Linked DNA regions of Notamacropus eugenii. The protein of the gene in region 2 binds, or shares a complex with, the protein of the main gene of each other region. Links are inferred from orthologs where the notes say so. Each region holds a gene or a part of one and is shown on either strand. Other genes may lie near its edges. The genes, in order: POLA2 and POLA1.

Evidence for each region.
Region 1: the proteins of POLA1 (region 2) and POLA2 are in contact, whole or in part, in a cryo-EM structure (PDB 8G99), measured with the Xenopus laevis proteins. The link is inferred for Notamacropus eugenii from reciprocal best matches to the Homo sapiens genes POLA1 and POLA2. Residues at the interface, in NP_001082055.1 of Xenopus laevis: Gln548, Lys551, His553, Gln554, Asn555, Phe642, Glu645, Val646, Gln649, Asn652, Leu673, Gly675, Arg676, Phe679, Lys1137, Asp1141, Pro1143, Asp1144, Ile1321, Gln1322, His1324, Asn1325, Lys1326, Leu1328, Leu1329, Arg1332, Ile1335, Lys1336, Tyr1338, Tyr1339; in XP_018112289.1 of Xenopus laevis: Met280, Tyr281, Lys282, Phe283, Met284, Phe285, Gln286, Lys287, Leu288, Met289, Ile291, Arg292, Val295, Ser296, Ile299, Glu314, Thr316, Leu320, Pro321, Gln323, Glu324, Thr325, Val326, Gln331, Gly333, Cys334, Asp335, Ser336, Asn337, Gly338.

Annotation. Positions count from the first base shown.
Region 1 is NC_092873.1:18,070,288-18,085,586, reverse strand, and holds the start of POLA2 (DNA polymerase alpha subunit B), read right to left. Parts: upstream 6,501-15,299; 5' UTR 6,378-6,500; coding exon 6,281-6,377; intron 5,559-6,280; coding exon 5,434-5,558; intron 2,702-5,433; coding exon 2,607-2,701; intron 2,436-2,606; coding exon 2,378-2,435; intron 809-2,377; coding exon 699-808; intron 1-698. UniProt on the Homo sapiens protein: Accessory subunit of the DNA polymerase alpha complex (also known as the alpha DNA polymerase-primase complex) which plays an essential role in the initiation of DNA synthesis.
Region 2 is NC_092876.1:452,196,012-452,212,323, reverse strand, and holds the start of POLA1 (DNA polymerase alpha catalytic subunit), read left to right. Parts: upstream 1-7,867; 5' UTR 7,868-8,012; coding exon 8,013-8,055; intron 8,056-12,516; coding exon 12,517-12,641; intron 12,642-15,868; coding exon 15,869-15,965; intron 15,966-16,312. UniProt on the Homo sapiens protein: Catalytic subunit of the DNA polymerase alpha complex (also known as the alpha DNA polymerase-primase complex) which plays an essential role in the initiation of DNA synthesis.

The DNA.
Region 1 (15,299 bases), on a different chromosome or scaffold from region 2:
CACCTTGCCCATCAGTGCAGGGCTGACACTGAAGAGAAGCCACCTCTATGGCATTGTTCTTCATGCCCTAAAGGTCTCTTGCTTCTGCTCTCCCAGGCACAGACCTCAGGGAGTTTGGGGGGGATGGATTCCAGATGGGAAGCAGCAGTAGATGGGTGTCCAGGACCCCAAGAAACAAGGCTAAGGCCCCTAACTTCACTGGAGTGGACATGCTGCTCCCTTGGTGGCTAAGTGGAATGATCTCCTCGTAAGCTGGCCTGGAGCTGCCGTTTCCAGGAAATGTCCCAGCTCCATGTAACTTGAGTGAGGGAAAAGAAGTAGGTTATGTAACATGAGAGGTGCTGATTAAGTTCCTTTAAAAACATATAAAAACAACTCCTAATCCTTTGGCCATTTTAGAAAAAAGACAAGCTGGATAAATCCTATTGAACCAGCTGGCAGGCTGCTATCAGCAGTTTCTTATCTAGGAAGCAAGCCCTTGAAAACAAGCCCTTGAAAACAGGGTGGAAACCAAATTTCCTCAATGACTCTAAGATACAGTAATTTTCCACAAAGAGAGGAAGAGCCAAGAGGATGCAAGGTGAGCAGGAAGGCTGAGCAATCATTGGTACAAAACCTTGGTTTTTCACACAATCGTCCCTGTTCTTGGGGTAACTAAGACCGTCTGGGCCTCCAAAGCACCGAGTCTGGCCCCATACCTTGGAGAGAAGCTGGATGGGGAGAAGAGCAGGTGAGGACTGCGAGCAGCTGATACATTCCGCTTGGACTGGGGAGTCTCAGGGGTGCTGACACTGCGCTTCTGAGAACCCTGCAAGCAGATCAGCCCATCAAGGGCCAGGCAACGTTAAGTCCAAGCTGGTGAACGAGGAAGGGCAAAGTCTCAAGAAGGGAAGATCCACTGATGACCAGGGAAGACCGTTAGTTCTGGAGGCCCAAACTTGCTGTCTCAGAGAAGCCTGTCCCAAGTGAGAACCCAAACCCCCATTTCCAACACCCCACTTCAAGTTTCCTCTAAAGCCCCATTGTGACAGCTCACCATCAGGGGCTATGTAAGGTGGCAGGTTTTACTAAGCTGCCATGCTATAACAATGTGAGACAGGGATGGAGCCTGTGTCTACAGGATGAAGGTCAGTCTAGTTAAACTTATAGATGTCCCATAGTAAGTTAGCTTCTGTCCTGAAAGCCACCTATAAGCCATGGGGCATTGAAATCTGACATAGCAGGGAATATCCACACCTCTATAAAGCCACAAACCCTGGGAGTCTCAAAAAAGGTCCAAGGCAGGAACATCTCTCCTGTTGACTCTTGGCCGATCAGAAGGCCTCCTTCTCTGTACTTTACACAACAACCTTCAGTTCTGCAACACAAGCTATCTTGACCTGCGGATATTTCTCTGAGATGGGCTAGGGCCAAGTCACCAGTCATTCTAAGAAGTTTAATTAGTTAGTTTTTCTCAAACTAGAAAAAAAATAGAATGACTCTGGGCAGGTAACATGTCTGAACTCCGGCCACTTTCTAAGGTACAGTTGCCAGAGAATTTGGTATTTTACTCTTTAATCAAAGTCCTAGGATGAACCTTGTGTGGTGAGGAAAACTGGCAGGTTCTGGAATGCTGGGAATTCACTTTCTCTAACTTAGTTTGTCAGACTCTAGACAAGAGGAAAACACTGGGCTCCGCTTTCCCTGGGGAAGGCCAGGGAATAACTTGGCTGCAGGAGGGGCAAAAAGTCAATCTCTGCCTGGAAGAGAACCAGAGACAGCCGCCACTGCAGCAGCTCTTGGGCTCCCCCTGGAGGCCCGACGAGGCCAGGCTCATTAGAAAGGAATGCCCTGAACTGTACAGAAAATACATAGCATTTGTCATTTCAAGACTGGTTTCCCCAAATCAAGCGATGGCAATAACACTACTGTTGAGGAGAAGCCTTTCTTGCTCCATGTAAGTGCAGGGGCTTTCCCGCCAGCAATGCTCCCTAAGGTCTCCTGTCTAGAGCTTGTCTGGACACAGTTGGAGGTCTGTTCTCTCTCCCATTAGACTGGGAACTCGTGGAGGGTAGGAAATGTCCTAGGCCTTTCATGGGATTCCTGGAGCTAAGCACAGTGCCTGGTAAAAAGTAGGTACTTAATACATGCTTATTCACTGACGGATCTAGGTGCAGTTTCATATGGTGATGCTTTCCAATGAAGATCTTTTCCCTTCTTTGGTGATACACCAACCTTGAGCTGCAGAGGGACAGGACAAACTCACTCTCACAAATCTGACTCCAGTGGGTCAGCCTCACTTCCTTTACCTGGACAGAACTGATTTCCAGAGAGCTGGCTCAGGAGCTGCATGGACTGATTGGTTCAAATCCTGAGCTTGGGGGAAGTGTCCACTCACCTTGGAGGGCGTGGCGTAAGAGTTCAACAGGGTCTCTTCTTGGGCCTCCACTTCAATCCTGAACATCAGAGTTATGGAAAACCCTGCCCCTCCCCTGCTCCCAGAGGCCAGGGCTTGGGATACATTACCAACACCTTCCCAGCTACCAGAGGGCTTGGCACATGCTGCCAGCACCCTCCCTCCCCTTAGGTCTCTAGCTGGCACCCTCATTCTGACTGGAGAAGGATACAGTTCTTGGATGGAGACGATGTCCCAGGTTCCTGGGTGGCTGCTGTCCTTCTTGGTGGGACCGTGCCTCGCTTTGGCCAACCTTTTGATCAGAAACTGAGGAAGAAAAGGTGGTGACTCAGTGTCAGCCCAAGTCCCAAGGCACCGGCTCCCGTTCAATAAATGATATTAAGTGCTAGGGAAGACACATTGCAGGGCTTACAGTCCAAGAGTGCGATAAGACACGGACAGGGACAATATGAGTTTGGGTACATTTCCTGGAGGGAAATCATGAGATGAAGTTGGAAACGCTGGGAGGCAGGGGGGTGTGGGGAGCCTTGATATCAGTCGAAGTCTCCTGAAGTTTGCTCAGTGGGATCAATGGATCTGCTCTAGATTTCTGAGTTTCTCTGGACTGTGATGGAGCAGGAGGTGGGGGAGACAGAGGCCACACACCTGTCTGGGAGCGACTGTCATTGTCCCAGTGTGTGAGATGAGCGTAAGAGAGCGTAAGAGAGTAAGGAGGAAACCCACAGTGGAGGGACAGACATGCCCACAAGAACCCCAAGATTTCAAATGTGAGAGATGAGGGTAAGGCTGGAGCCAGGGACAGAAGCGATGCCCTCTGAGGGAATGGCCAACAATTCAGAGTTTGGTTTTAATTTGCTAAATCTGAGGGATGGCAGCATTTCCAGGGAAAGCCATTGTGCAGCAGTTAAAAAGATTAGGACTGGAGATGTGACTGCAGGGGAGCTGCAGCTCTGGACATGAGTGCAGGACATAAGCCTGCTGGAAGAAAGGGCTCAGTGACAGAAGAGGCCGAGACAAGACCCAGGGACAGCCCAGGGAGGGGAGGAGTTAGCAAAGAGTCACCACAAGGTGCTTCAGACGCCCAAAGAGAAAAGAGGATCCAATGGGAAGGTTGGCCATCAGTGCAGACAGCCAGGCATCAGCCACCTAAGAGATCCCTGGGGACCGGAGGGCACAGCGTCAGGAGAATGGGGGCCAGGAATGAGTCAAGAAATGACAAAGCGCCCTCTCCTCTCCTCAAAGGATTTGTTCAAGATAAAGCAGAGGTCAGACTACAGAGGCTGAATGGAAGGGTGGAGGAGGGGCAGAGAAAAGGAAGGACATGGGATGGCAGGATCAAAGGAAGACCTGGAGACCAGGGAAGTCCTGGGGGGAGGCCCTGAGGAGGCAGGGGAGCACAGGCCTGTGCATGGATCAGTCCCAGCCCAGAGGACTGAGCTTGGCTCTGGGGGGACCAGAGGAAGCAGGAGCCAGCAGGGGAGGGGATGTCAGCCAGCCGTCCTCTCCAAGTGCTTATCTTTCTCGTTTCCTGTTCTTATTTTTTTACATTAGACAAAATGACATGTAGCTTCTTTGGGGATCAGACCGCAACCCTGATTTCAGGAAATGCCACTGATGTTCTAACCTACACTTTGAACACAGGGTAAGTCAGGATACCAAATTCAAAGAGGTCAGTGCCAGGCTGAGTCCACACACATCCAGTAGAGGACAGGCTTTCTCACCTACTCACTCTACAAGACCTTGTAGAGCAACAAGTCTAAGGGCTGGAAGGTGTGTAGGGATTGAGGTGTCCAAGCCCGAGCCAAGAAAACAACCACAGTGGTTACTGCCCTGGAAATGGGATCACAACCAAAGACAGTTAAAAATGAATGTCACAAGTTATGACCCGCAAGCGTGGTGTCCAAGGACAGATGTAAGAACATACTTTCTCTTCTTTTACAGCGGAGGGCCGTTGCACGTGGGGAATACTGCATGGAATGTCCTATTTTTTCAATGTATTGATCAGTTTTGCTAAGATTTTTGCTTCTTATTTTTCCTTTCTTTTTAAAAAGTTTTTGTTATAAAGGATAGCTCTTTGGGAGTGGGGAATAGGAAGGATATAAGGGGAAATTTAAGTAATATGAAACAAAAGATAATAAAAAAAATCTATTTAAAAAGAAAACTTACAGGCTTTCTCCAAAGCTAGACCCAGAAAAATGTACTGTTCATCAAAGCTTAATATCTAAGGTGACAAAAGGATGGGTTCATGAGGAAGATGTAAACTATGTTCCAACATCTTGTTTGCTCAATGCCAAATTGTATAAAATAACTGACTGCAAAGGGACATGTAACATATTAAAAATTTTTTAAAGGTGTTAAAAAACACAGAGTCGTTCAGTCCAATGATTTCAGGAGCTTTTCTGTGCCAGGGTCCATGTGTCTTGGGATGAAGAAGACGCAGGTTCTGCCTCCAAAGAGAAAACAGCAGAAAAATTCCACATAAACACCAGGGCAAGCCTTGGGGTGTCACCTGAAGTAAAGAAGTGGCTTGAAGGGCCAAGATGCCCCTGGGTACAGCCTTGGGATGATTCCAGCCACAGGCAGATACCATGGACTGGGAGATGTGGGCCAGCAGTTTGCGGGCAGGAAAAGAAGCAGAGAGGGACTGTTCTTGGCCAGTCAAGAAGTGGGAGGGTGAAGGATGAAGGAGAGCGTAAATTTGACCACAGCTGAGTATGAGGTCAGGAGGCACGAGGCTCATGGCCCTAGTGGATGGGAAGGAGATGGAATATGATAGACAGGAGGAGAGAGGGGAGGTAACTGAAGGTCTGATCCACACAACAATACTAGGAGGTAGATATTATCACTCTCATTTTACAGGTGAAGAAACTGAGGCAAACAGGATGAAGCGACTTGTCCAGTGCTCGAGGCCGGACTGGAACTCTGGTCTCTCCCACTCCTTAGGCTGACAGGACTCAGATGTAAAGGAGACTTATTATTTCCAGAACCACAAGTGCTGGGGTCTGCCTCCAGCTCCCAGACCGTGGCTTTGTTCTTACCTCATTTTCAAAGGAGCTGAGGGTCTCCAAGGTGAGATAGACTTTGCCGGTGTTGCTGCTAAAGGCCACGAGCTCGGCCACCAGCTGGTCCTCCGTCTGCCGGTACAAGGGACACAGCTCTGCCACTGCAGGGACACAGGACAAAGCGCACGTCAGTGTGGACGCTCCCCTTTGGCTTTTTCACTTTAGAAAGAGCAAACTTTTTGGGGGAGAGCTGGAGACTCTCCCCATCATCCAGAGTCCTGGCGCTGGGTGGCCGTGCCATCCCTTACAAGAGGGAGGCTGCTTTATTTCTGTTTGGGCCAAGAGTAGAGGGCGGCAAAGGGTGAGGCCAGAGAAGCTCTAGAAGAGCTCTATGAGCAGATGCAGGGAACCAGGAAAGCACAGGGCTACAGCAAGGGGAAGGCAAAGAGCCCCCCAACAGAAGGAGGAGGTCCCTTAGTGGGGGGGGGGGTCTCTCCCTGGAGGGAGACAAGCCAACAAGCATTTATTATGCACCTCCGGTGTCCCAGGACCCCTGAGGGCAGGCTCCACCTTCCATCCCGGAGGATAGTCCCTCCCCCCTTTAGCTGGAGCTTCACATACAGTAAGCACTTAATAAATGCTTCTTTCCTCCATCCTCGGTGTGTACCGGGCGTACAAAGAGCTCAGCTCTAATGGAGGGGATGATGGGGGCTCTGCAATCACTCTCATCCCCCCACAAGTACTTGGGGGCTGGGGAGGGATCGGGGAAGGCTCCCTGCAGAATCTGTTGGTGCCCCAGGAGGGGCGCAGGTCAGGCTGGGGGACGGCTGGGCAAAGGCTCGGCGAGGGAAGATGGGGGGTGGGCATGGCGGGGTGCACTCACGCTTCTCGTAGGCCGCCTCCTCGCAGTCCAGGCCGAACATCTGCAGCTCGGAGGCCAGGCGCTCGGCCGACACGGAGCCGGCGCCCCCGGGCCCCATCCCTCCCGCCCGGCAGGGTTACCGAAACAGACCGAGAAAAAAAAAAACACCCGCCAAACTCCTCCGCTGCGCAGGCGCCGTCCCAGGCGAGGCTGCGTCCAGCCCCTTCCGCCCTGCCCCAGCGCGCGTGCGCCTCACCTACTCTCCCCGGCCCGCGATCCGGCCGGGCGCAGGCGCGCTGGGTGCCGGCGGGAGGTGGGGGTGGGGTGCGCCGTGCGCGTGCGCCGCTAAAAGCCAAACACCTGGCTCGCTCTGCGACCAGTAGCACCTACGGGGCAGGCGCTTCGCGCTTCATCCGGCCCCCTGCCGGAAGCCTTTCCTCGCGCGCCCCCGGGGACGGGCTCCAGCTTGTCCGCCCAGCCCGCTGGAACCTGGCTGTTTCCTTGTGGGTCTCCCTCCCCAGACGGGCCGGCCTTCGCCTCTCCTTGCGGCCCCCACCTGTCGGGGCGCGGCGAGGCCCAGCTGAGGGAGTGCGCGTGCGCGGCGCTCTGCGGCCCTTACAGCCCCGTATATAGTCGTATATACACACGTGTACGGCAGCGGTCTTGGAGCGTGGCCTTGGGAGGCCAGCCCCCACGCACGTGCTTGCTGACTCATCTCCGAGGGCCTTTCCAGGTCTCCGGCTCTGGCCAGCACATCCGTTGTCGCTTTGTGTAGCGACCCCTCTCTAAAGCAGCCGGCACTGCCTGACAGACCCGGGGTCTCGGGGGCCGTGGCAGAGGGCTGGGCAGCTGGAAGTGCCCAGCGCAGCCGCAGGGCCCTCAGGCGCCATGCTCGGCACGGGGAGGCTGAGGGCACAGCCCCCGGGAGCTGGGCCACCGTGCGACAGCCGAGGGGCCTTTGTGCCCGCTCCCCGAAAGGCTTGGGCTCCACAAGTGTCTGGGGGAATGAATGAATGAATGAATGAATGACTCTCGTCCCTCCAACGGGACTGAATCCTGAAGGCACATGCCGGACATTTCTTGAGGGCACCCGAAGCCCCTTTACTGCACATAGAGAGGAGACCATGACTCAGAGTAGTAGCTGATGCCCACGGGTAGACAAGTCAGAATTAGGTCAAATCTGAGGCTTCCTTCCTCCAGGCCCAGCTGTACCACTGTATCCACTGTACCGCCCAACTGCCTATGTCTCCTCCTGTTCTGAGCCAGAAGGACCAGAGCTCGCCTACGGTTAGATGGACCTACAACAGAGGAAGAATCCCCCTCATTTCATCGTAGTGCAGGGGCAAGGCAGTGGGACAGCGCAGTGCTGGGCAAAGAGCCACCAGACAGCGGTGCAGGGGATTTTAATCCTTTTATTAAGTGGGTTTGTTCGTGAAGTTTGGGTTCAGTAAAAAGCCGCATCCAGGAATCTAGAGGGCCACATGTGGCCTTTCGCCTCAGGTTTCCCACACCAGATAGAGACTTACAGCAGCTCTTCTTTTTCCTCACTTATTGTGTTCCTCCTTCATTGCCAAAGAAGACCATGCCATCAGAGAAATGATGACATGACTTGCACTTGACTTTGTTTTGAGTGAGGGAGGGCTGTGCAAGGTCACCAGCCTCACTTCTCCTCCAGTGCCATCTGAATCCAGTGACCACATATTCATCAGGATGACTGGAGATCACCCAGGATGCCCTGGGAGACCTTGGGCCCTTTAGGCCAAGGTCTTTGCAGGTGCTCACTTAGGGTGAGGTAATGCCCATTGATTGAGTAAGCCTTTTTACGAAGTAGCCAGGGATGGCCCCTTTAATGAGACTAAGAAAAAGCAAGACATCAGTCTTGGAGGGAAACAGCAAGGGTTACTATTGATAATCACTGTAACGCCAAGAGAGTCCAGAAGAACCCTTAGGCAGGGGCCCATTGGTGTCCCAGCTTCAGAATGCATTAGGTTTAAAGTTTTGGGAAAGGAAAAGACAGGATAGGACAGGACAGGAAAGGAAAGGAAAGGAAACTAGCCAGTAATATCCAAGTCAACTGGGCACCTTCCTTTGGAGAGGAGAAGGAAGGGGAGGAGGAGGCAGATAGGGGAGAAGGAGGGCACAGAGAGCCTGTGTCTTTTTGTGCCTTTGGAGCACACACTCAGTTCTGGCTTAGCAACCAGGTCAGAGGTTCGAACAATCACCGAATACATGCACATGATCTGAATTGGAAGAGGACCTTTGCATTACACAACATCCCTTACATAAACAGGCTCACCAAACCTTCACTCAGATTACCAATGGGCAGAACATGGTAAGTTTACTCTAAGGGCTCCTCCTGACCATTATGTATATTTGATCTGGGTGGTAATAATGGGGAGTCACTGGAGTTCATTGAGTAGCAGAAAGGCATGGTCTGACTACTGATTTAGGAAAATCAGTTTGGCAGTTGAGTGGAGAATGGACTAGAGTGAGGAAACAGTCAAGATGGGAAGACCAATGAGCAAGCTATTGCAAGTTCAGAAAAGAGGTAACAAGGATCTATACAAGAGTACTTGGTGTGTGCATGGGGAGAAGGTGATGTATCCAAGAGGGTTGTGAAGATGAAAGAGAAGATGGAACAGCAGATTCAGCATGTAGGTGGAGGTCCAGTCAAGTCGGAGATGACTGAGATTGTGAAGCTGAGTGCTTGGGAAGGACAGTGACACCCTCAACAGTAATAGAGAAGTTGGGAAGGAGGGAGGGGAAGGGGAAAGATAATGAGTTCTGTTTTAGACATCTTGGGTTTAAGAGACCAATGGGCTAACCAGTTTTCAATATCCAAAAGGCAGTTGGTGATGTAGGACTGAAGCTCAGATGAGAGATTAGGGCTGGATGTATAAATCTGGGAAAACTGCATTGAGATAAAAACTGAACACATGAGAGCTGATAAGATCACCAAGTTAGAGGGAATGGAGGAAAAAGAGAAGACAGCCTAGTACAGACCCTTGGAGTATTCCCACATTTAACCAGACCCAGCAAGGAGACTGAGAAGGAATGGTCATTGGGATGGGAGGAGAACCTGGAAAGAACAGTATGATGGATACCTAGAGAGGAGGGAGTATTTTGGAGGCAATTGACAGTGTCAAATGCTTCTGAGAGGTCAAGAAACATGAGAATTGCTAACAAAAACAACCTAACAACCCTCCCTCCCAATCCCCTCCCAAAACAAAAAACAAACCCTGTTAGATCTAGTATTGAAGGGATCATTGGTAACTTTGGAGAGAGCATTTTCAAGTGAATAATGAGGTCAGAAGACCAAGTTAAGAAAGAGGGTAAGAGGAAAGGAAGTGGTGGCAGCCTTTTTGAGGAATTCAGGTGAAGTCAGTCTGTGAGTCAATAAACATTTATTAAGTGGCTTGTATGTACCAGGCCCTGTGCCAACCACTGGGGATACAAAAAGATGCAAAAGACAGTCCCTACCCTTGAGGAACTCATAATTTACTGAGGGCGACAAGCAGACATATGAACAAGTGGGCTGCCAGCAGTATAAAGAGGAGATGAATAGCATAAGGAAGTTAGTAGGATGAAGAAGAGTTGGGAAAGGCTTCCTACGGAAGGTGAGAAATGGAAGTGGAGACAGCAGTGGAGATTTAGCATGATAACTACGGGGGTGGTCAGATGAAGTGAGTTTTTTTAAAGGATGGAGAAATGGGCATGTTTGTAGACATTAGGGGAGGAACCAGGAGACAGGGAAACTGAAGATTAGAGAATGGGGTTGATACTGAACAACCTGCTGCAGAAGACGAAACAGGATGATATCAAAGGTGCATGTAGAGGGGTTGGCTTTTGCAAAGAGAAGACCCATCTCTTCCCTGAGATAGGAGATAGTAGGAAAAAGTGCCCAACTATTGTGAGATGAGGAGGAGAGGAAGGATGGAGTTTTTTCAATGATTTTTTTTTTTTGGAGAAGTATGCAGCTAGAGGATAGGGAAAGGGATACCATAGTTATTTTCAGGAGTCAAGTTAATAAGCATTTATTAAATGTCTACTGTGTGCCAAGCATTGTACTAAATCTGAGGATACAAAGAAAGACAAATGCCTGCCTGTAATGAGCTCCCAGTCTAATGGGGGAGACAAAATGCAAACAACGATGTAGAAACAATATATATACAGGATAGATTGGAGAATTCTACTTATGGAAGGCACCAGCCTTAAGAGGCAAATGCAAAAGGCTTTTTTGGTAGAAGGTGGGGTTTTAGGTGGAACTTCCTTGAAAGAATAACTTGGGGTTTCATGGTATGAGGACTGCTGAGCCCTTTTCAGGGCTACTCATCCACTTTTAGGATCCATCTGCCACCCAATGGCTCCAAGAAGCTATAGAAGGTACAGTAGACATGCTCCCATTTCAGCATACAGCCTAAACCAGGTGGAGGGTAAGGGAGGGACCTCAAACCCCTAAGTGAGTTGGGGGGTATCTATCCAAAATATGTGATATCTTAGACCAGTGGATCTGGTGGATGAGAACAATTTGTTCCAATGTGCCATGAAGGACACAGCAGCAGGTACTGTGAATCACTTAGAGCTTGGTTAAATATTGAATGTGCCAAGGTCATCCCCTTCATCCTTGAGCCATTGCCAGTTGTCCTGACTTTTGTCTTGCCACTCGACTTTGATGACTCTAGAAGACAGAGTGAGGCTGATGGCTTCATGAAACTCTGCCTCACTTAAGTTGAATTTATGGGTGAGTCAAAAGATATTACCCATACCATTTTACCATTTTTACCTACCTCAAAGTCCTGTGGCAATAGGCAAGTGATGAAGCAGCAAGTATGGATATAGCAGGAACTGTAGACACAATCCTGCAAATAGGTGGCTGAGACAATAGTGTTATTTTCTCACTGAACTAAAGCAGCAGTGGGATTCGGCAGCCCTCTGAGTGTCTGAGTAGCCTTTTAAGGACCTCACTGCTCACCTCCTGGCATGAGGAAGGTCTTAGAAAAAGTGCCCTAAAAATTGTCTGCTTCACCTAACTTAATCCTAGACTGCTTACCCCAGCTGGCAGGGATCACTCCCTGTGGGCGAAACACAAAAAAAATATAAAAACTTTTGGGAAGATGATTCCACTCACCATTGATACGTGGAATGGGTGTACACTTATGGACAACTATGAAATCCAGTAGACTTGAGCTGCTCTTGTTGTGAGAGAGCTTAGCATGTATCATATCCAAATAACCTTGAGTGAAACAAGGCTGGCAAAGGAAAGAAGTCAGAACTGTTTTTCTGGAGTAGCTACAGTGAAGGGAAGCTCTGTGAAGCTGGTGTGTGTTTTGCAATCAAAACCGACCTAGTCAACAAGTGTATATTGCTCCCCCAGGGAGTGAACAACAGGCTCATGACAATATTGGCAGGAAATCGTCATGGCACCATCACTGGCATGTGTGTTCCCACCATGAACCCTGATGAAGTCAAAGAAAAAATTCATGAAGACCCGGAGACCCTCATATCATCATTGTGACAAAAGAGGACAAGTTTGTAATTCTGGGTGATTTTAATGCTAGAGTAGGCACAGACTATCAGACATGGCATGGAGTCCTTGGGAGGAATGGAGTTGGAAACAGCTCCATGAGCAAACCACAATTTCAGTAGCTCCAAAGAAATGTGAGACACACAAATTTAGACATCTCCACTCCAAATGTTCATTTGGATTATTTGTATCTGATCTGTGGGAGAGGCTTTGGAGGTTGTATTGGTCTTATCAGTCACATAGGACACACTATACCTTGACCCTGACATCATGATGCCATTTTGGTTCTTTATGAGCACCAAGGACAACAACCACTACTTGAAGGAAGCCGGGTTTAAATGTATAGGATAAATTTATAATGGATTCTGATTTGTAAGCCTACGAGCCATTCTTCAATAGGCAAATGATAAAAGGATATGAACCAAATGAAGTTTTCAGAGGAAGAAATTTAAGGGATTAATAGGCATTCATTCATTCATTTATATTTCAGACCACTGATCATCAGAGAAATGCAACTTAAAATAATTCTGAGGTTCTTCCTTATGCCTCCCAAACCAGCAAGGACAACAACATAGAAAGATGACCGTGTTGGAGGAATTGTGGGAAAAGAGCAATAAGAATATTGCTGGTGGAACTATGAATGGCTCGTGCCTTCCTGGAAAGCCGTTTGGAACCATGTTGACAAAACTTGCTAAACTGTGCCTACCTTTTGACCCAGGAAAACCTCAATCATGGCTTTTCTGTTCAAACATTTTGAGAAGAGCTTTTTTTGTTTTTTTGGTGGTCAAAAGTTGACCACCTTTCCAGGAATGGCTGAACAAATTGTAATATATAAATGTAATGGAATTTTATTTTCCCATAAGAAATAATGAAGTGGGCAGTTTCAGAGGAAACCAGGAAGACCTTGATTTAGGGTAAAAAAAAGCAGAAGTAGGAAAACAATTTATATAATAAAAATGACATTATTGAGAAAAACAGCACCAAAGACTTTGGAACTCTGATCAAGGCAATGATAAACAAAGATTCCAAAAGAATGAAGATCAAACATACAATTTTGCTTCCTGCTAGACAGCTAAGGAATTTAAAATGCAGAAAGATACACACTTTTGGGAATGACCAAGGTGAGGATTTGTTCCAGCTGATTATACGTGTATGTATTCAGGGCTTTATTATTATTTAGGAAAAATTTACCCAATTTGAGGGACAGATTAATAAAAGAAAAAGTTAAACTAATAGAGACAATTGTAAAAAAAATTAGAAAATAAAGTGCAACGTAATGGGAGAAGAGAGGAAACAGGGTATCTCAAACCCAACACGCAGAATTTATTATCTTTACCTCCCTTTCCAAATTCCCTCTTACTGTTTTTTTCTTTTCTAAAAATTTATTTTCTTTTCAGTTCCAAATTCTCTCCCTCCCCCACCCATTGGGAAGGCAAGAAAAATAAAACCCATTAAAATACATATATTCATACAAAACAAAGTTTCTCATTATCTACATTTTATCTGCTGTTATTGGGGCACCATTGTTATAGTATTCCCGCTACATAGTCAATCTGTTCTCTGTCAATAAACATTTATTAAGCACCTACTATATGCCAGGTGCTTGGCTAAGTGCTGTGGACACAAATATAAAAAAAGAATGACAGTCCCTATTTTCAGGTTTATAATCTAATGAAGGAAGATGACACTGAAGAGAAGTGAACAGGGAAAGGAGAGGGAGGGAGGTGCCTGGTGCAGAGGCATGGATGTCCTAAGGGGTGCAGCCAAATGGCTGGCCTGGGAACCCTCCAGAAATGAAAGTTTGGGGATGAGCTTTCAGCTCAGGTTGTTAATCAGAGGGACTCTTGATTTTTTTTCTTGAGTAAAAGGGTCATCCTTTGACTCACTTCTTAAAAAAAGACCTATTCACTGAGAGGGCATTACCTCACTCAAAATGAGGACCTGGAAAGACCTTAGTCTAAAAGGACCAGGGTCTTCCATTGCATCCTGGGCCATCTCCAGTCATTCTGATGAATATCAGGCCATTGGACCCAGATGGCTCTGGAGGAGAAAGTGAAGCTGGTGACTTTCTACAGCCCTCCTTCACTCATATCAAAGTCAATTGCAAGTCATGTTATCATTTTCCTGATGTCATGGTCCTCTTTGAGAATGGACAAACAAGAAGCTCCAGGAACAAAGACTACTGATGAGCTAGGAGTTCCATGGCTGATGAGATCTTGCAAGATGCAGAGGTTCCTGGGGTATGATAGAAAAGTCCAGAGGGGGAGCAACTGCCTGGGAGTTGAGGAGCATGTCTTTTATCTCAAAATATCTCTTGTAAATATTCCCTTCTCTTTACTAATACAGAAACCAACTTCATATACAGCCTGTCTACTTCATGCCTAGACTATTGCAACAGCCTCTGTTTGGTCTCCCTGCCTCAAGTCCCTCTCCACTCCAGTCCATTCCCCATTCAATGATTTTCTTAAAGTCTAGGTCAGACCATGTCTTTCAATAAATTCCAGTCTCTCCTTATTTTCAGCTCCAGGATCAAATACACATTATGAGGTACTGTCCCAATCCTTAGTCCAAGAACAGTACATTTTGTCTACTAGCACTACAAGTAGTGAGTCAAGTAGCTTGGTGATTCTGCTTCTGGAAATCAGAACATAATGTACATAATGGGTACATAATTGGGGCTCTGTCCCAATTCAAATCACAAACATGTATTTGATGACTTTTTTCTGTTGGCTTACTGCAAAAAAAATTCCTAATTGGCTAAGCCAGAACTGACTGTGTATTCCAAAGGCACAAAGAGACAATAGCTCTCTCTGATGTCAGCTTTCAAGTGAGAAGAAAGAAAAGCTTAGAATGCCTTATAGTCCTCATCCCGGCCACCAGGTGGCCATGAATGCATGATCTTCTGTCTTAGTTGTGTTTTTTCTTTCCTGATCATAGGTGAATGGACATTGGACAAAGAAGAAAAATGAGCAATATATGATGAAGCCTGAAAAATCTATGCAATTTATTACATCTTTGTACTGTCTACTTCTGTAAGAGTTGGAGTAGGTTTATCTCCTCATACTTCTACTTTAAATAGTATTTTGTTTTTTCCCCCAATTACATATCAATAAAACTTTTAGCATTCATTTTTACAAGATTTTGAGTTCCAAATTTTCCTCTCTTTCTTCCCTCCCCTCCCCTTCTCAAAATGATAGGCAGTTTGGCATAGTTTATATATGTACTATCATGTAAAGTGTATGTCCATATTCATCACAATTGTGGAGGAAGAAACAGATCAACAGGAAAAAAAAAACATGAGAAAGAATAAAGTAAGTGAAAAAAATATGCTTCATTCTGCATTCGGAGTTTATTAGTTTTTTATCTGAATGTGGATGGCATTTTCCTTTGTAAGTTCTTTGCATTTATCTTGGATCATTGTGTTGCTGAGAAGAGCTGAGACATTCATAGTTGATCATCACGTGATGCTATTGATATTGTGGTCAATGTTTTCCTGGTTCTGCTCATTTCACTTTG
Region 2 (16,312 bases):
CTCTACTAAAAGCTTGGAGGAAATATCAAGATTAAATATGAAATGTTCCCTACCCTTATGGGTACTGTAGCTTGGGAATGAGATATATAGTTGTAAATAACCCTAATACAAAATGATACATGGTAAAATCTTTAGAAAGATGCAAACTGAGTGTTGAGTGGGATCCAAAAGGGAAATTTCTTTACAAAGAGGGGGGCGTAGAAGCAAGAGAGATGAAAATGGATTCTATTGCAATAATTCAAGCCCACTGTACAAAGGTGGTACCAGTAGAAACAGAGCTGAGATGACTTGAGATTTTTGTGGAGATAGAATTGACTGAACTTGACTATTGTTTGGAAGTGGGAGTGAGGAAGAAGGAAGAATTAAAAGGCAACACCAGGTTCTCAAAAGTGGGAGACTGGGCAAATGGTAGTGACAATGACAAAAAGTTTGGGGCTTGGGGGAAGGGTGACACTAATCTTTTTTTTTTAAGTCAGCATAAACTAACATTTAAGACACACTTTTTCAGAAGATCAGGCAGGAATGTCTTTTGTGAGATAGAATTTAGAAAAGTTCTTAGTTCCTAGACATGAACACTTGGGGATGAAATGCCTAGGAACACTGTGTAGGAGTTGGCACTTGCTGAGATGATATTGGGACTCTTAAAGCCCAGGCAATATAACTATGGTATCAAATGGAACTCAGGCTGGTGGGAGTTTTCTAAGCAAAATTGACAGCAGGTCCAGGACAACCCCAGGCTTTTGCTTTGGTTGGGGTCACCTCAAATGAGGTGACCATGAAAGAAATTCCTACTGAGTAATAGGGATTATGGGAAGCCTTTAGTAAGCATCAGGCTAACCACTAGTCCCTTCATAAAAGACATTGTTAAGGAGGGATTCACCTTCCTGATCACTGACAAGGTTCTCTCTCTCTCTCTCTCTCTCCCTCTCTCTCTGTCTCTCTCTCTGTCTGTCTCTCCTTCTGTCTTTCTCTCTCTCCCCTCTCTTTTTCTCTCTCTCCCTGAGGTATACGTAGCATCAATAAGGAAGCAGAAAAGTCTCTGGATGTGGACTTTCCGAGATTGGTAATAATTCCACATCACTATGAAGAAGAAGGCTTATTATAAAACCCTGTTAGCAAGTCATCCAGAGAAAATGAAAACCAAAAATATAATCTCCTGTTAATGGTGGAATAGTTGAGCACAGGCCAACTTGCATGTTCAAAGTTGTGATGAGTACTAGTTCATAAAGATACCTTGATGGAAATCATGAGAGTGTCTATGGCCTTTGGTAGCACTTCCTTGACTATATTATTGGGTGGGGCTTGATTTTACAATTGATTCATCTGCTTCACAGAGGAATACTACTATTCTCATGGCAGCAGATTGTTTCTCAAAGACGTGCCACTTGGCACAGAATCAGAGAGAGAACAATTTGGACAATTGGAGAGAGCAATTTACACAATGACTACAACATTGCAAAGAAAAACAACTGCTAAAAGGCTTCAGAATTCTGATAAATGAAATAATCAATCTCAGTTCCAGAAGACTGGTGATGAAGTGATGAATCAGAAGAGCAGGAGGAGATATTTTTAGACATAGCAATGTGTGAATTTGTTTTTCATGACTGTAACAAAGAAAGGTTTTTGGAAGGGGAGACTGTTGAGGTGGAGCAAGGAAATGGAGAGGTAGTAATAGTGAAAATGATACTAAAAAATGGAAATAATGTCATTAAGTTACTAAAAACAAGAAATTAATTAGATCAGGGGTGGGGAACCTGCAGCCTCATGGCCACATGTGGCCCTCTAGGTCCCCAAGTGTGGCCCTTTGACTGAATCCAAACTTCACAGAACAAATCCTCTTAATAAAAGGATTTCTTCTATAAAATGTGGACTCAAAAGGCTGCACCCAAGGACCTAGAAGGTCACATGTAGCCTTGAGGCTGCAGGTTCTCTACCCCCATTAGATGTTCTAAAGTGGACACAGACAAGCAAAGCAGTATGGGAACCAACCTGTTAGATTTAGAGTATTCAGTAACATAAACATAAAACATTCAGAGTTTTATATATAGTCCTCCATTTCTGTTTTACTTTGTGTTTGGAAATGTTCATGTCTGTTGATTGTCAAATTCATAACAATAAAAAAGCAAATTTAATTTATTTCCCTTTAAAATTAAATTTTATTTTTAGTTCTGAATTCTCTTCCTCCTTCTACTTCCTCCCCTTATGATTGAGAAGGCAAGAAATACAATATCCATTATACATATGAAGTTAACCAAACTATCTCTGAATTAATCATATTCTGAAAAAAAATGAGAAAAGGAAAGGGGGAAAATATGCTTCCATCTGTACTCTAAATTCATCAGTTCTTCTTCTGGAGGTGGACAACATTTTTCATTGTGAGTCCTTTGTAACTGTGGTGGATCACTGTATTGATTAGTTACTAAGTCTTTCACAGCTGATTATCTCCACAATATTGCTGTAAAATGTTCTCCTAGCCCTGCTCACTTCTCTCTGCATCAGTTCAAAAAAGGAAATTTTTAAAATGTAATGAATTATCTGATTCCATGGGCCAAGCTATCATCCAGGATGTGATTTTTTTTTCAGAATGTTATTAACTTGCATAGGTTTCTCAATCAGATGGTCTACAACTAAGTTCTCAAGAGGAGTTCAAAAGAGGGTTCGAAATTCAGCTAACTACCCTACTCTCCTGCCTAAAAGCCAATGGGTTTGTAGAGGATATTAAATAGTATTGATGCTCTCATACTGCACTTTTCAGCAGAACTGAGTTTTATTCCTGTTAACAGGCAATTTTTTTCCAGGAATTGTGGTTGGAAACGGATTCGTTTAGGTATCCTATAAAATCTCCCCATGTAGTTGACTAGCAAACATATCAAAGACTCAACAAATACCACTTTTGAAGAACTGGGAACCACATCTACAAATGGAGAAACTGGGCCATCTAAGCATTATGATGGACACAGAAACTGGGGAAAATCAAGACCCTAGCTCCAAAACGGAAACTCAGAAATCATGTCTGGTTAAAAAAAGTGTATTTTCTGGTATGAAGTTCCTCGCTGGCTTTAGATGACAAGTATTCAAGCTTCTTTATTATCTCTTTGTGTCTGAACTCAGTGACCTCTGGTCCAGTACTACTGACCTGGAAGACTGAGTCTTTCATTTTAAAAAAAACTGTATCTACCATATCCATTTGTCTTAGATTTTCTAGGGCAGTCTCAATTTTAAGAAAGTTTAAGTTTAAAAAGGCTTTGAAAAAGGAATATCTTTTATCAGACATAGGTGTGGAATGGATATTTTTGGATATAATTTTCATATAGATGTAATTTTCAAATGGATATAATTTTCACATTGGGTCAGTGTTTTAATATCTTTTGCTGAACTGTTTCATTTGGGAGCCAGGCAGTAAGGTGGTGCAGTGGATAGAGCACCAGTGCAGGAGTCAGGACCCGAGGTCAAATCTCACCTCAGACACTTGATACTCACTAGCTGTGTGACTTTGGGGAAGTCACTTAACTCCAATTGTCTCATCCTGGGTCATCTCCAGTCATCCTGATGAGTATCTGGTCACTGCACCCAGAAGGCTCTGGAGGAGAAGTGAGGCTGGTGACCTGCACAGCCCTCCCTCACTGAAAACAAAGTCAAGTGCAAGTCATGTCACTATTTCTCTGATGGCATGGTCTTCAGCAACACAGGACAAACACACACATTTCGGAAAGGGGTGTCATAGGGAAGTTAGGGTGGCATCATTGGCAAGGGAAAGCAATGTAAAAAAAAAAAAAGACCAAGAAAATAAAAAAAAATTCTTTGTCAGACCTTAAGTTGTTCCCCATATGTAGATATCAAGCCTTCCTCACCTTTGCTTTTAAAAATCACTGACTTCTTTCAAGATTCAGCTCACATGCTACAAGATTTCTTGTTAGTTATGTTGCTGTTCAGCTATTGTTTTGGTCACATCCAATTTTCTGCTACCTCATTTGGGGTTTTCCTGGCAAAGGCAATGAAATGGTTTGTCTTTTCCTTCTCCAGCTAATTTTATAGATGAGGAAACTGACACAAAGAAGGTTCAGTGACTTGCTCAGGGTCCCACAGTCAGATCTGAACTCAGGAAGATATCTTTCTCAATTCAGGCTTGGCATTCTATCTACTGTACCATATAGCTGTCCTTCTTATTGCTTATTCATTCCTAATTTTTCATTCCTAGGAAAATCAGTCTGAGACAAAAGAAAAAGAATTCATATTCTCATTCGGTCAACTAGCATTTATTAAATATCTACCACATATCAGCACTGTGTTAAATGCAAGTCGTCAAGAAACAAAAAAACTGGATTTGGACAAAAGACACAAAATTCAATGTCTTGGTTAGTTTTTTTCTTGCTGTGAGTCAGAAGAAAACAAAATATACAAATAAGTTTGTATTTGATAAGCTTATGAAACAGAAACTGTCATGCTAATTTAGAAATATCCTTGTCTCCTTTCATACTGAGCTCCAAAGAAGAAAGACATGCAGGGCAGTTGGGTGGCAGCTTTCCAAACTATGAGCCACATGAGTGATGACTAAGCAGAAGTACCAAAGAAAGAAAATATTGTCGCCATGGTGGCATCAGTTGCCCTTGTTGGGGTGAGGGAGAACCATCTGCCATGTGGATAAGTTTATCAGGGAACTGCTGTTCTTCTCCATCAAGAATGAAAAATGGCATTCTAAATCATCACCTAAGAGCCATGGGTAGATAACCGAAGTTTAAATATTGGAATACTATTGGAAGGAGCTTTTTTATAGCCTTGACGGATGGAAGGCTGTCCTACTGAACACTTCGAAAACAAAATTCTTGCTACCAAAGTCCTTGGCACTGTCAAATGGGTCAACATCAGACATGGGGATATGATTTTATCAGTGGAAGTGACTTTATTTTTTTAAAAATTCATTTGTTTTCAGTTTTCAACAATCACTTCCCTAAGCATTAAATTTTCTCCCCCCCCCCAGATGGCATGCAATCTTATATGGGTTCTACACATACACAGTTATTAAACACATTTTCACATTAGTCATGTTGTATAGAAGAATTAAAATGAATGGGAGAAATCATGAGAAAAACCAAACCAAAACAAAACACAACACAAGAGAAAATAGTCTGCTTCATTCTGTGTTCTGATTCCATAGTTCTTTTTCTGGATGTGGATGGCATTTTGCCTCAAGAGTCCTTTGGGAATGTTTTAGGTTCCTGTATTGCTGTGAAGGGCTAAGTCTATCAGAAACAGTCCTCGCACACTGGGGCTATTACCGTGTACAATGTTCTCCTGGTTCTGCTCATTTCGCTCAGCATCAGTTCATACATGTCCTTCCAGGCATCACTTGCTCCTCATTTCTTATAGCACAATAATACTCCATTCCATTCATATACCAAAACTTGTTCAGCCATTCCCCATTGATGGGCATCCCCTCGATTTCCAGTTCTTGGCCACCACAAAGAGAGCTGCTATAAATACATTTGTATGTATGGGACCCTTTCTCAATTTTATGATCTCTTTGGGATAGAGTCCTAGAAGTGGTATTGCTGGGTCAAAGGGTATGTACATTTTTGTAGCCCTTTGGGCATAGTTCCAAATTGCTCTCCAGAATGGTTGGATCAGCTCACAGCTCCACCAACAATAAATTAGTGTTCCAACTCTTCCACATCTTCTCCAACATTTGTCATCTAGTGGAAGTGACTTTAAACATCTTTGACAATTTGCTTTGTTCCCTAAAGATCATGGGACCTTTCCATCAGACTCTTATCTGAAATCTCCTATGTATGTGGTTACTCCCATTAGAATGTGAGCTCCTTATATAAGGAAATTCTTTCTGTGACTCAAGGGGACTTACAACATACAACACTCTACTCTGGGTCAGGAAAGTGAGTTCAAATCCTGCTTCAGACACTTATCAGTTAGGTGGCCCCTTGGTTTGGTCATCCATAAAGTGGGAAAAATAGTAACATACACTTTATAAGGCTGTGCTGAGGTTCAAATGAAATAATATAGGTAAAGTGCTTTGTGAGTCTTAAAGCATTCTCTAAGTGCTAGCTATTATTACCATCCTTATTATATCTCAGGTCCAACATCAAAACAGCATGGGGATTCACATGCCGATGTACCTTACAGGTTCGCATGTTGTCCATTAGATTATGACTGCCTTGGGGGCAGGGACCGTCTTTGGCCTGTTTTTGTACATCCGGCCCTCGGCACACATTAGGAGCTTAATAAACGTCTACTGATTGATTGACTAAACTCAGGGAGCTCTCCAAGAGGCTCATCAGGCATTCCCTACACACCAGCGGAAGCTCAGGTCAGACACAAAAAGGACAGTTAAGAGTCTGTGCCTGGCATTGCGCTGCGGACTAGGAACACAAAAATAAGTCTCCTATTTGTACAGTCAAAGGGTTCGATGTGATTATCTCTAAATCTCCTTCCAGGTCCTAAGGCCTGTACCGGCTTGAGACAGGGCAAGGGGAAAGAGGCTGGGGCTCGGCGGGCATCGCGGACGTTGGCCACGGGGATGAAGGCGCTGGGCTCAGTGGGCACCACGGACGTTGGCCACGCGGATGAAGAAGGCGCTGGGCTCAGTGGGCACCATGGACGTTGCCCACGTGGATGAAGGCGCGTGGGCTCAGTGGATGAAGGCCTGTGGGCTCAGTGGGCAAAGGCCTGTGGGCTCAGTGGGCACCGAGGACGTTGGCCACGCGGATGAAGAAGGCCTGTGGGCTCAGTGGATGAAGGCGCTGGGCTCAGTGGGCACCGCGGACGTTGGCCACGCGGATGAAGAAGGCCCGTGGGCTCAGTGGGCACCGCGGACGTTGGCCACCCGGATGAAGAAGGCCCGTGGGCTCAGTGGGCACCATGGACGTTGGCCACGCGGATGAAGAAGGCCCGTGGGCTCAGTGGGCACCGCGGACGTTGGCCACGTGGATGAAGAAGGCCCGTGGGCTCAGTGGGCACCATGGACGTTGCCTACGTGGATGAAGGTGCGTGGGCTCAGTGGGCATCGCGGACGTTGCCCACGTGGATGAAGGCGCGTGGGCTCAGTGGATGAAGGCCTGTGGGCTCAGTGGGCACCGCGGACGTTGCCCACGTGGATGAAGAAGGCGCGTGGGCTCAGTGGGCACCGCGGACATTGGCCACGCGGATGAAGAAGGCCCGTGGGCTCAGTGGATGAAGGCCTGTGGGCTCAGTGGGCACCGCGGACGTTGCCCACGTGGATGAAGGCGCGTGGGCTCGGTGGATGAAGGCCTGTGGGCTCAGTGGGCACCGCGGACGTTGGCCACGCGGATGAAGAAGGCGCGTGGGCTCAGTGGATGAAGGCGCGTGGGCTCAGTGGGCACCGCGGGCGTTGCTGACCCTGTAGATCGTCCCGGCTGGCTCCGGGGAGCACGTTCTAGGCGCAGGGATGCTGCGGACAAGAGAGAAGACAGGCGGAGAGGACAAAGTCCAAGTGCAGAAAGAGGAAGGGCAGGCGCGGGGCGCTGCCCTCGAACTGACCACCACCCCGTCCGTCTAACAATAAAAGAAAGGATCTGGTCGCACTCAGTGTTCGATAGGGTGAAGACCTCCGCATAGCAGCCAGGGCCCCCCCAGCGCGCGGATTCCGCCCGCCCGCGCCTAGTTTCAGGGAAGGCGAGTCTTAGAACCCGAGAGCCGCCCTCTCCAGGCAGGTTCTCGTTCCCTCCCGCCCTGGACCAACTGCGCATGCGCCCCCTGCCGGCCTTCTTTCAAGCGCCCGGCCGCTTTCTTTCTCCGCTCTCGGCCCAGTCTGAGTTTCCCGCGGGTCTAAGGACTCGGGAGCGCGCCGAAAGCCGGGATCTGGAGGAGGAGGCGGCGCTAGGGCGGGGACACGGCCGAGAAACGCCCGGCGACCCCGGACTTCCGGGCGGAAGTCGGCCGCCGTCGGCGGGCGCTGATTGGCCGGCGGGGCGGCGCGTGTCTCTGCCCCCGCGCCAGTTTCAGCGCGTTGGCGCGGAATCCTGAGCCGGAGCCCGTGGACCATGGCGCCGGTGCGCGGCGCGGAGCGCGAGCCCGGGAGCAGCGGTGAGGACCGAGGCGTGGCCGGGGCCCAGGGGGCCCGGGGCGGGGAGGGTGGCGGCGGCCCGAGAGGCTCCGGCCCCGACCGGGGCGAGCGCTCGTGGGGGAGGGGGAGCCTGGAGGTCTGGGGAGTGGGGAGGGGGCGGCGGAGAGTGCGGGCGCGGTGGCCGTCGGTGGCAGCATCACCAGGTGGCAGACCTGCGTCTAGGGACGCGGGAGCCCCGAGGCTCCTCCTTCCTCATCCTGCCCTGGGGGAGCTGGGGGCGGGTCCGCTCCGACCGCGCTGGGCGTCCCCCGCTCAGGCCGCAGCCCCCGGACCCCGAGATCCTCAAGGCCGGTGCCTTGGTTTTACAGACGAGGAAACTGAGGCCCAGCGATGAGGAATCTGGGGCAGGAGCTGTTTCTCGGGCACCTTTCGGTCTCTCCGCCGCACTCCTTTTCCTCGACCTTCTTTCTCGATGTAACTGGAACTTTGGGTGTCCCTGTGGGGCACCCCTAGTGTCCTGCACGTTGTGCCTGCGCGCTCCGCCTTAGGAAATGAGCTTTTATTTTTTCATTTTTTTGCCTGTTTCACTCCAGTGGTGTCTCTAGAACAGCTCAGCAACATCCCGTTTGAATCTGGACCAGACGGTGGTCATTATTTCTGCACAAGTATATCCCATACATTTCCTAAGTGCCATGCCGAGGAAAAGTGTGTTCTGGCTTCTAAGGGGATAGTTTTCCACTTTATGCATTTTAAAATGGTTTTCAGATTCATCCAAGGAAAGGGGGGTAATAATAATGTTTGCCCTCTGGTCGTTTACTAATATGCTTAAAAATAGTGGTTACAAGTTAGTGCTCATATTTTAGTATTCTTTTATCAGAGAAATACTCCGGAATGGATATCTTGAATTCCCTAAAATAGAGTTGGAAACTGCACAATTACCCTAATCCAAATAACTGGATTTTCAAGTGAATACGAGTTGTCAGGAGTCTTGAGTCTGTTTTCCTTCTAAAGATCCGATGACTGACGGGCCTTTGCCTTCCTGGCCCAGTGTCTTCATCTCTTGTCAAATGGATACTTTCTTACTAATGAAAACTTTCTAATCAGTTTCAGTTTCATTCACCTACTTGTAAATTACAGATGTCAGTTTGCAGCAGTTGCTACAGTGGAGACTGAAGCCTTAAGACAGTGTGGTAGACCTCGTTGGTGTGGGGAACTGTCAGGACTGCATTACAGAGGAAATGGATGAACGTGCATCCTGACCTGTCACTTAAGCAGTGATTTGCTGCTAAGCTCTTCTTTTATCTTTTAAAAACTGAACTTCATCAGGGAGCATCAAAAATCACTGCTTGGGTGATGCTGTGCAATCTGGAAACCCCTCTTAAGTTATGGGCTGTGATTATGTTGCTTTGATGGGCTTGTGACTAGAATGTTTCCTTTGGAACATGCTGAAAGATTCATTTATTGTGCTTTTTTCTATAGCCTATCTATAGACTTTTCTTTGGGGGTGCCCCAGATGGTTCTTTTTAATCCAGCATTTGTGATTGCTAGAATCAGCCATTTTTTTCTATTAAAAAAAAATTTATACGTGTGAAGAAAGTGTTTAAAAAGAGGAAGGAGAATTATTTGTTTATGTTTAAATTGGAGAGTCAAGGCCCATTGTTTTCCATAGGTACTAGAACTTAGGGAAAGTGAGATATAGCTTGAAAATCTTATAAGCAATTGTTTACCTAGATATGATTTTTTTTACCTTGCTGGAAAGATGTAAAGGAAAGTTTATAGTAAAGCATTGACTGTAAGCTTCTGATTATTCCTGGTGCTGTACTAGGTGTACTAGTGAGAGAATTACTAGGTAATAATGGCTAATAATAACAGCTACCATTTATGTAGTGCTCTGATGTTTTGTAAGGCACTTAACAAGTATCCTCAACAACAGCCCTGGGGAGGGAGGTGCTGTTATTAGTCTCATTTTACTGATGTGGAAGCTGAGGCGGAGTTGTGAAATGACTTGCCCAGCATCCTACAGATAATTAGTGTTTGAGGTCAGGTCTTCCTGACTCCAAGTCTAATGTAAAACCCATTGTGTTACATAGCTGCGAGATCAAGTTCTTATCCTCTCAGGCACACACGTTGACAGAACTCTAGGTATAGGATCCATCTGTCCATAGCAGCTCAGGCATACTTTAATACATCAAAAGACCAGGGATTTCATCCATGTGACTAATTTCTTGCAAATGTAGATTGCAGTTTTCACATGTAGTACAGGTTTCATGAATTTCTGTGTTTAGAAAAATTTGTAACTTGGTAGCCAAACTTGTACTGATGAGCTTCCTGGGACTTAGCTAGATTGGTCCTTGATTATATTGGCCCTGGTGGCATTTGTGTTCCACTGATAGGTTCTTCAGGACATGTTATGTGCTCCATGTTGTGACGAGTCGTTGGAGGACTTCAGAAGAGGAGCCCACATGTGCAAGGAATTTTTTTGATGTTTCACTGAGATGCCTGATCTCATTTTTGTGGGATGATGGCACATTTCTCTTCAGTGGCAGAGAATGCAACCATCTGTGCTTTCTTATTTTGCGCTATTTTTTCCCCTATCTTCTTAAAATTCCTTCATAGTTTGTTTACCTAGTGTGCTCGAGGGCTTGCTTTAGGTCTTTTAACATTAGTAGGTACTAGTGACACAATTAGGCTGTCTGCCCAGTAGTCTTCATTGTCACCATATAACAGAACCATCTCCTTTTCTGGTCTTCTATTTCTTCAATAATATCTTTATACCATACCTTGGGCTTGAGTCATTATTGGTATTATCTTGCACAAACGTTTGAACTGACAGTAGAATAAAAATGTCCTCCCAACACATAAATGAACAGTAAAGTCAAGAGTAGTTACATTTTTAGAGATAGGGGCATTTCTAACTACAGAATTGAAGTAGAGGTCAGTGACAATAACCTTAGAATTTTCATTTAAGTCCTTAGCATATTTAGAAGAATTTTCTGATCAGTCTGGGAAAACTTCTTGAAATTTTGTGTGTGTGTGCGTGTGAGTGTGATAAGGGAGATAGAGCTAGATGTCTTTTGGGATTTAAGGTGGAGTGGGAAGGAAGGAAATGTTTCAGGTGAATGTCATTTCTTTGGACAAGTACCAAAGTAGGCATGGCATAAAGTAGACTTTGAATAGACATTCTAGATTGGTTCTGGGGTGGGCTTAGGAGATAAAAGAGTTGCAGAAGCTTTATGAAGGATTTTGAATGATCCATAAGAGAACTGGAAATCATTGCAGACATAAAAAAGGAGGGTGATAATTCAGTTCAATTCAGTGCCAGACACTATGCTAGGCTTTGGAGATACAGGGACCAAAAGGAAGCCATTTTTGCTTTCATGAAGTTCATATTCTACAGAGGGGAAACAATATGTGTGTGGGGATGGTCAAAGTGACAAGCACAGAAGACTTTGGTGGGAAAGCATAGTTTGAAAAGTTGGTGACTGGCAGTATCACCAATGTTAACTTACTCACGTGTCTCCAGGTGCCTCTCCCTGCTGTAAATCGATGATCAAGTGATGTTGACTGCAGGTCCCAGGTGTTTTTCACTGTTGCTTCTTGCTACTCATTATTCACTTCCATCCTCTGTGAATTCAGATTTCCTTACCTGTAAAAATGAAGTTGCGATGGTAGATGCTATGTAAGAATCCTTCCTGCTCTGATAATCTGTAGCTCTCTGAAGACTATACCATGGCTTACGCAATAGTGCCTAAGCTTACTGGTGTTGGTACAAGTAGAATTTTAGACAGTGGTGTTAGGAGGATAGACCGCATGAGTACAGTTTTCTAGGGGAACTAGATTTCTAACTGATGTCATATACACTAGGGGTGAGATGTAGATGACTTCATCTCATAATCTGAAATCATCCCAAGTTAAACCTGGGTGTTACTACAGTTCTCATTGTTTAGTATGTATTTGGGAATATATTTTAATATTTAAATAACTTGGCAAAATATGTTAATCTCTGGTCATTATTCACTGCTACCCTGCACATATGGGATATGACCTTATTGTCAGTATCATGCTTATGAAGAAAATGGACATCGAAATAGTAATAAGATAAATAGAACTCATTATGAGCTGCTTCTCCTTTTTAAAAATCAGCATCTTTTGCCATATAGGCCTGGCCTCTGTTTTTGTTTGTTAGAATTTTAGGCTGATATCCATTTCTCAGTCTAGTCGTTGAAAAATAACAAATGTTTTTTTCAGCCTAGAATTTTTTAAAAAAAGCTGACATTAGGGCCATTATTAGAATTTCAAAAGAATTAGACTTAAAGCAAATTTTGCCATGTAATTTTTCCTTTCAGTTGCTTACATTTTCTTTGTGAATATGCACTTTTGGGCTGTTCTAAGAAGTGGATGTTAATATTGGGCAGAAAATATCTTGGAGCTCTGGAGATCGAAATTCTCCTATCTCACGATGTTAATTTGCTCTCCTTCAGGTGTATCAGATTCAGGGCGTTGGATGGCTTCCCGTTCTCGGAGGGAAAAGAAGTCAGTAAAAGGGAGGCAGGAAGCACTGGAAAAACTGAAAAAGGCAAAAGCTGGAGAAAAGCTTAAATACGAGGTAAGTATTCACTTCTCATGACTCAGTCTTGTTTTCTCCTCAAGTTCGTACAGTGTTAGCTTATATAAATCCTCTCACAGGCTGAAGAAGTGTTTTAGTATCCCTCTCATCAGTCATTAATTTGTAAAATTGAGCTTTCATTATGTGCACAGGATTGAGTATTTTATGGTTTGCAGGGGAAATATTGCAATTGGGTTTCTTAAAAGGTAGCTAACGTTTTATTTAAAAGTTTTATTTTTTTTTTGTTTTTTTTTGTTTTATTGTTTTTTTAAACATCACTGTTACTTCCTCCTACTGTCTCTCCACCCATTGAATCTTCCTTCCTGAGCTAAGGCAGTTGACACAGCAGCTGCCCATGTATATCACATTCCACATCTGTAATTCTCTCCACTAAGAAAGTTTTTCCTTACTCGTTCTCTAGGACTGAGCTTGTTCATTACGATTCATGAGCATCTGACTGCTTTTTAGTGTTGTTTACATGATAGTGGACATTGTGTGTATCCTTCTCTTGGTTCTGCTTTCTTCACTCTATCATTTCATACAGGTGTTCCCATGTTTCTGTAAGTTCTTCATATTCATCTTTTCTTGTAGAATAATAATATTCTATTACATTCATAGAACATATTTTGTTAGGCTCCTTCATAATTAATAGACATCTATTCCAAAATCCTTTTGGATGAATTATATGCATTGAAGAATATTTTTCTGTTCTCTGTTAGTGAATACTTTGTATGTAAGTGTGTGTAGGTCTTTGGGTACTTGCTCACACACATGTGTATTGTGCACAGGTTGGTGCCAGAGCAGATAATTCATGTGTCTTTTCTTTGAGGAGTCTCAAATGTCCTAAACTTAATTTTTAAAAAGTAAAAATTTAAAAAGTGAATCTACCCCTCTTTCTAAAACTGATTTTGAAATAGGGATTAAATTTCAGGTTCTCCTCTAGTTATTTTAAATTCAGTCTATAGAAACAGACTGCTGCACTGTTTGTACTTTTGCCAATTTTAAGTGTGCATTTTTGTTAAAATCCATTAATGTCATATTGCTCCATGAAGTCTTTTTTACTTAATGATTTTTCATAGTAATTCCTTTTAAAAATTTCTAAAGTCTGGTGCCCAGTGTGCTGAAAGAGGCTCTGTTCGTCTTGGGAGTGTGTGAAGCTACAGGTGTAAAATGTGTGTGCAGTTTGTCAGTGCCGCTCTTGGGAGTACAGAGATGATAGGCTTTAATTTTCTAATCTTGAGAAGAAAGCTATTTCCAAATTGTCTAATTACCTAGGATGCAAAAATCAGAACTACACTTACTGTGAGGTGGTCCTGCGTCTAACCTGAAGTGAGATAGTTTATTTCTAGCTTTTGCATGTAGTCTTTGTACAGTGTTTAGGCAATGTACTTTTGGTACTTCAGAGAAAAGAACCTGGTGATTATGCAGCTGACGTGGGGAGGAGGAGCACCAGCACAGTTTGTAAAGAATATATAGTCTTGTATCGCAAGCATTGACAGATGTGGTCACCGTGTCACTGGTTTTTGCTTGGCTGTCTCTTTGTTACGGCAGAGGGGCCTTTCAGTGGGGGAGGAGTCCAGAGATGGCCCATGTAAAGACAAGCATTGATAAAACTTAGTTTTAAAGAAAGATCACTAAAATACTTTTGTTTGGCTCTCTAACATGTTTCTTGGCTTTCTGGTTGTGGGAATTGGGAAGGGCAGCTGCTTTACCTTGCTGCTTATTTGGCTTGGGAGGATAAGAGTAAAAGTAATTCCCATATCATCACCTGACACTGAAGGAGGGAGCTAAGTTCAGAAGCTTACAGGGAATATGGAAAACAGGCCTGGAAATCCTCAAAGCATGTAATCAAGGGCTGACTATAATTCGGTTTGTTTTTGATAAAGTAGATGGGTAGTTGACAGTGTGACAAGCATGTTATGCGCATAGAGCTGTCGGGTATTATATAAGTAGTTTGAGCTGGAAGGGGCTTTAGAGATCACTTGTTCTTACGTGTAGAAGATGATTTAATTGCTGTTGACGTGAGCTAACAACGTTTACTGTGTGAATGGCTACGTGTGTGACCTTGGGTCAGACCCTGGAACCTTTCTGGGCCTCTGTTTCCTTATCTTTGTGACAGACACCAATACTTAAGTATTAGTATATACCAACAGTGCTGTTGTAAGGATTAAGTAAGAATATATGTGTAAAATCAGTGGTGGTAAAATCAGTTTAGACTATTAGATGTCAGTCAGTAAACATTTATTAAGCCCCTACTATGTGCCAAGCGCTGGGTTAAGTTCTGGGGGTACGAAGAAAGGCAAAAGACAGTTCGTATTCTCAGGGGGCTCAAAGTCTATGGGGAAGACAGCATTCAAACAAGCTGTGTACTAGGTGGTGCAGTGGATAGAGCACCAGTGCAGGAGTCAGGATGATCTGTGTTCAAATCTCACCTTAGACATTTGACACTCACTAGCTGTGTGACCTTGGGCAGGTCACTTAACCCCAATTGCCTCATCCTGGGTCACCTCCAGTCATCCTGATGAATATCTGGTCACTGGATTCAGATGGCTCTGGAGGAGAAGGGAGGCTGGTGGCCTGCACAGCCCTCCCTCACTCAAAACAAAGTCAAATGCAAGTCATGTCATCATTTCTCTGATGGCATGAAGGATGAACACACGCACTGTTCAGCCAATACATTTTTTTTTTTTTTACAGATGAGTAAATAAGCCTAAAAAATGTGAAATTTCCTGTCAGAAGTCATGCCAGCAGACAGAGACAGAACATCAGCTCAGATCTCCTATGACATATTCTTGTTATTTGGTTGTTTCAGTCATGTCTGACTCTTTGTGATTCCACGTGGGGTTTTCTTGGCAAAGGTCCTTTTCCAGCTCATTTTACAGATGAGGAAACAGGCAAGTAGGGTTAAGTGACTTTGCTTAGGATCACACAGCTCGTAAGTGTCTGAGGCTGGATTTGAACTCAGGTCTTCCTGATTGCAGGTCTGGGGCTCTGTCCACTGTCCCAGTTAACTGCTCCATTATGCTGTATTCCCTCTCCATATTTTAACATCCACTTTTAGGAAAATCCTGTGTGTAATGGCACTGCATGATAGAACTAAATTTTTTGATTGTAGCTACTCCTTTCAGTCCTAGTTCCACTTTGTGTCTCCAAATCTACACTCAGCAGAACCGTTTAATGTTTCACTTGCCCTGAATTTCATCTGTGATTTTTTATGATGTTGGCAGGTAGAAGACTTCACAAGTGTTTATGATGAGGTCGATGAAGACCAGTATTCCAGAATGGTCCAGGCACGGCAGGATGATGACTGGATTGTGGATGATGGTAGGCCATATGAAATCCCCTGTATAAATTCACTGTGTCCTTCTTGCTTGTACCATGCAAGTGGTAAATGTCGCTCTTGTGGAACGTACTCATGAAGGTATGGTCTTTTTTTCCTGTTAGGACATATTAAGAAAAAAATAAACTGACTGCATCCTAACCTGAAATTCTTGAACTCATACGAACAACAAAAAAACCTTGGCTGTTTCCCTTGAGTAATAGACATAATATGGGTTTCAAAGGAATTTTGACTCCCTCAAATAGATTAGGGTGATGACCAAATAAAGGGAGGAACTACTTTTAGTTAATTCAGTGAAGAGAAGTATCTCCAGAGTTCTCCTTTGACTAGA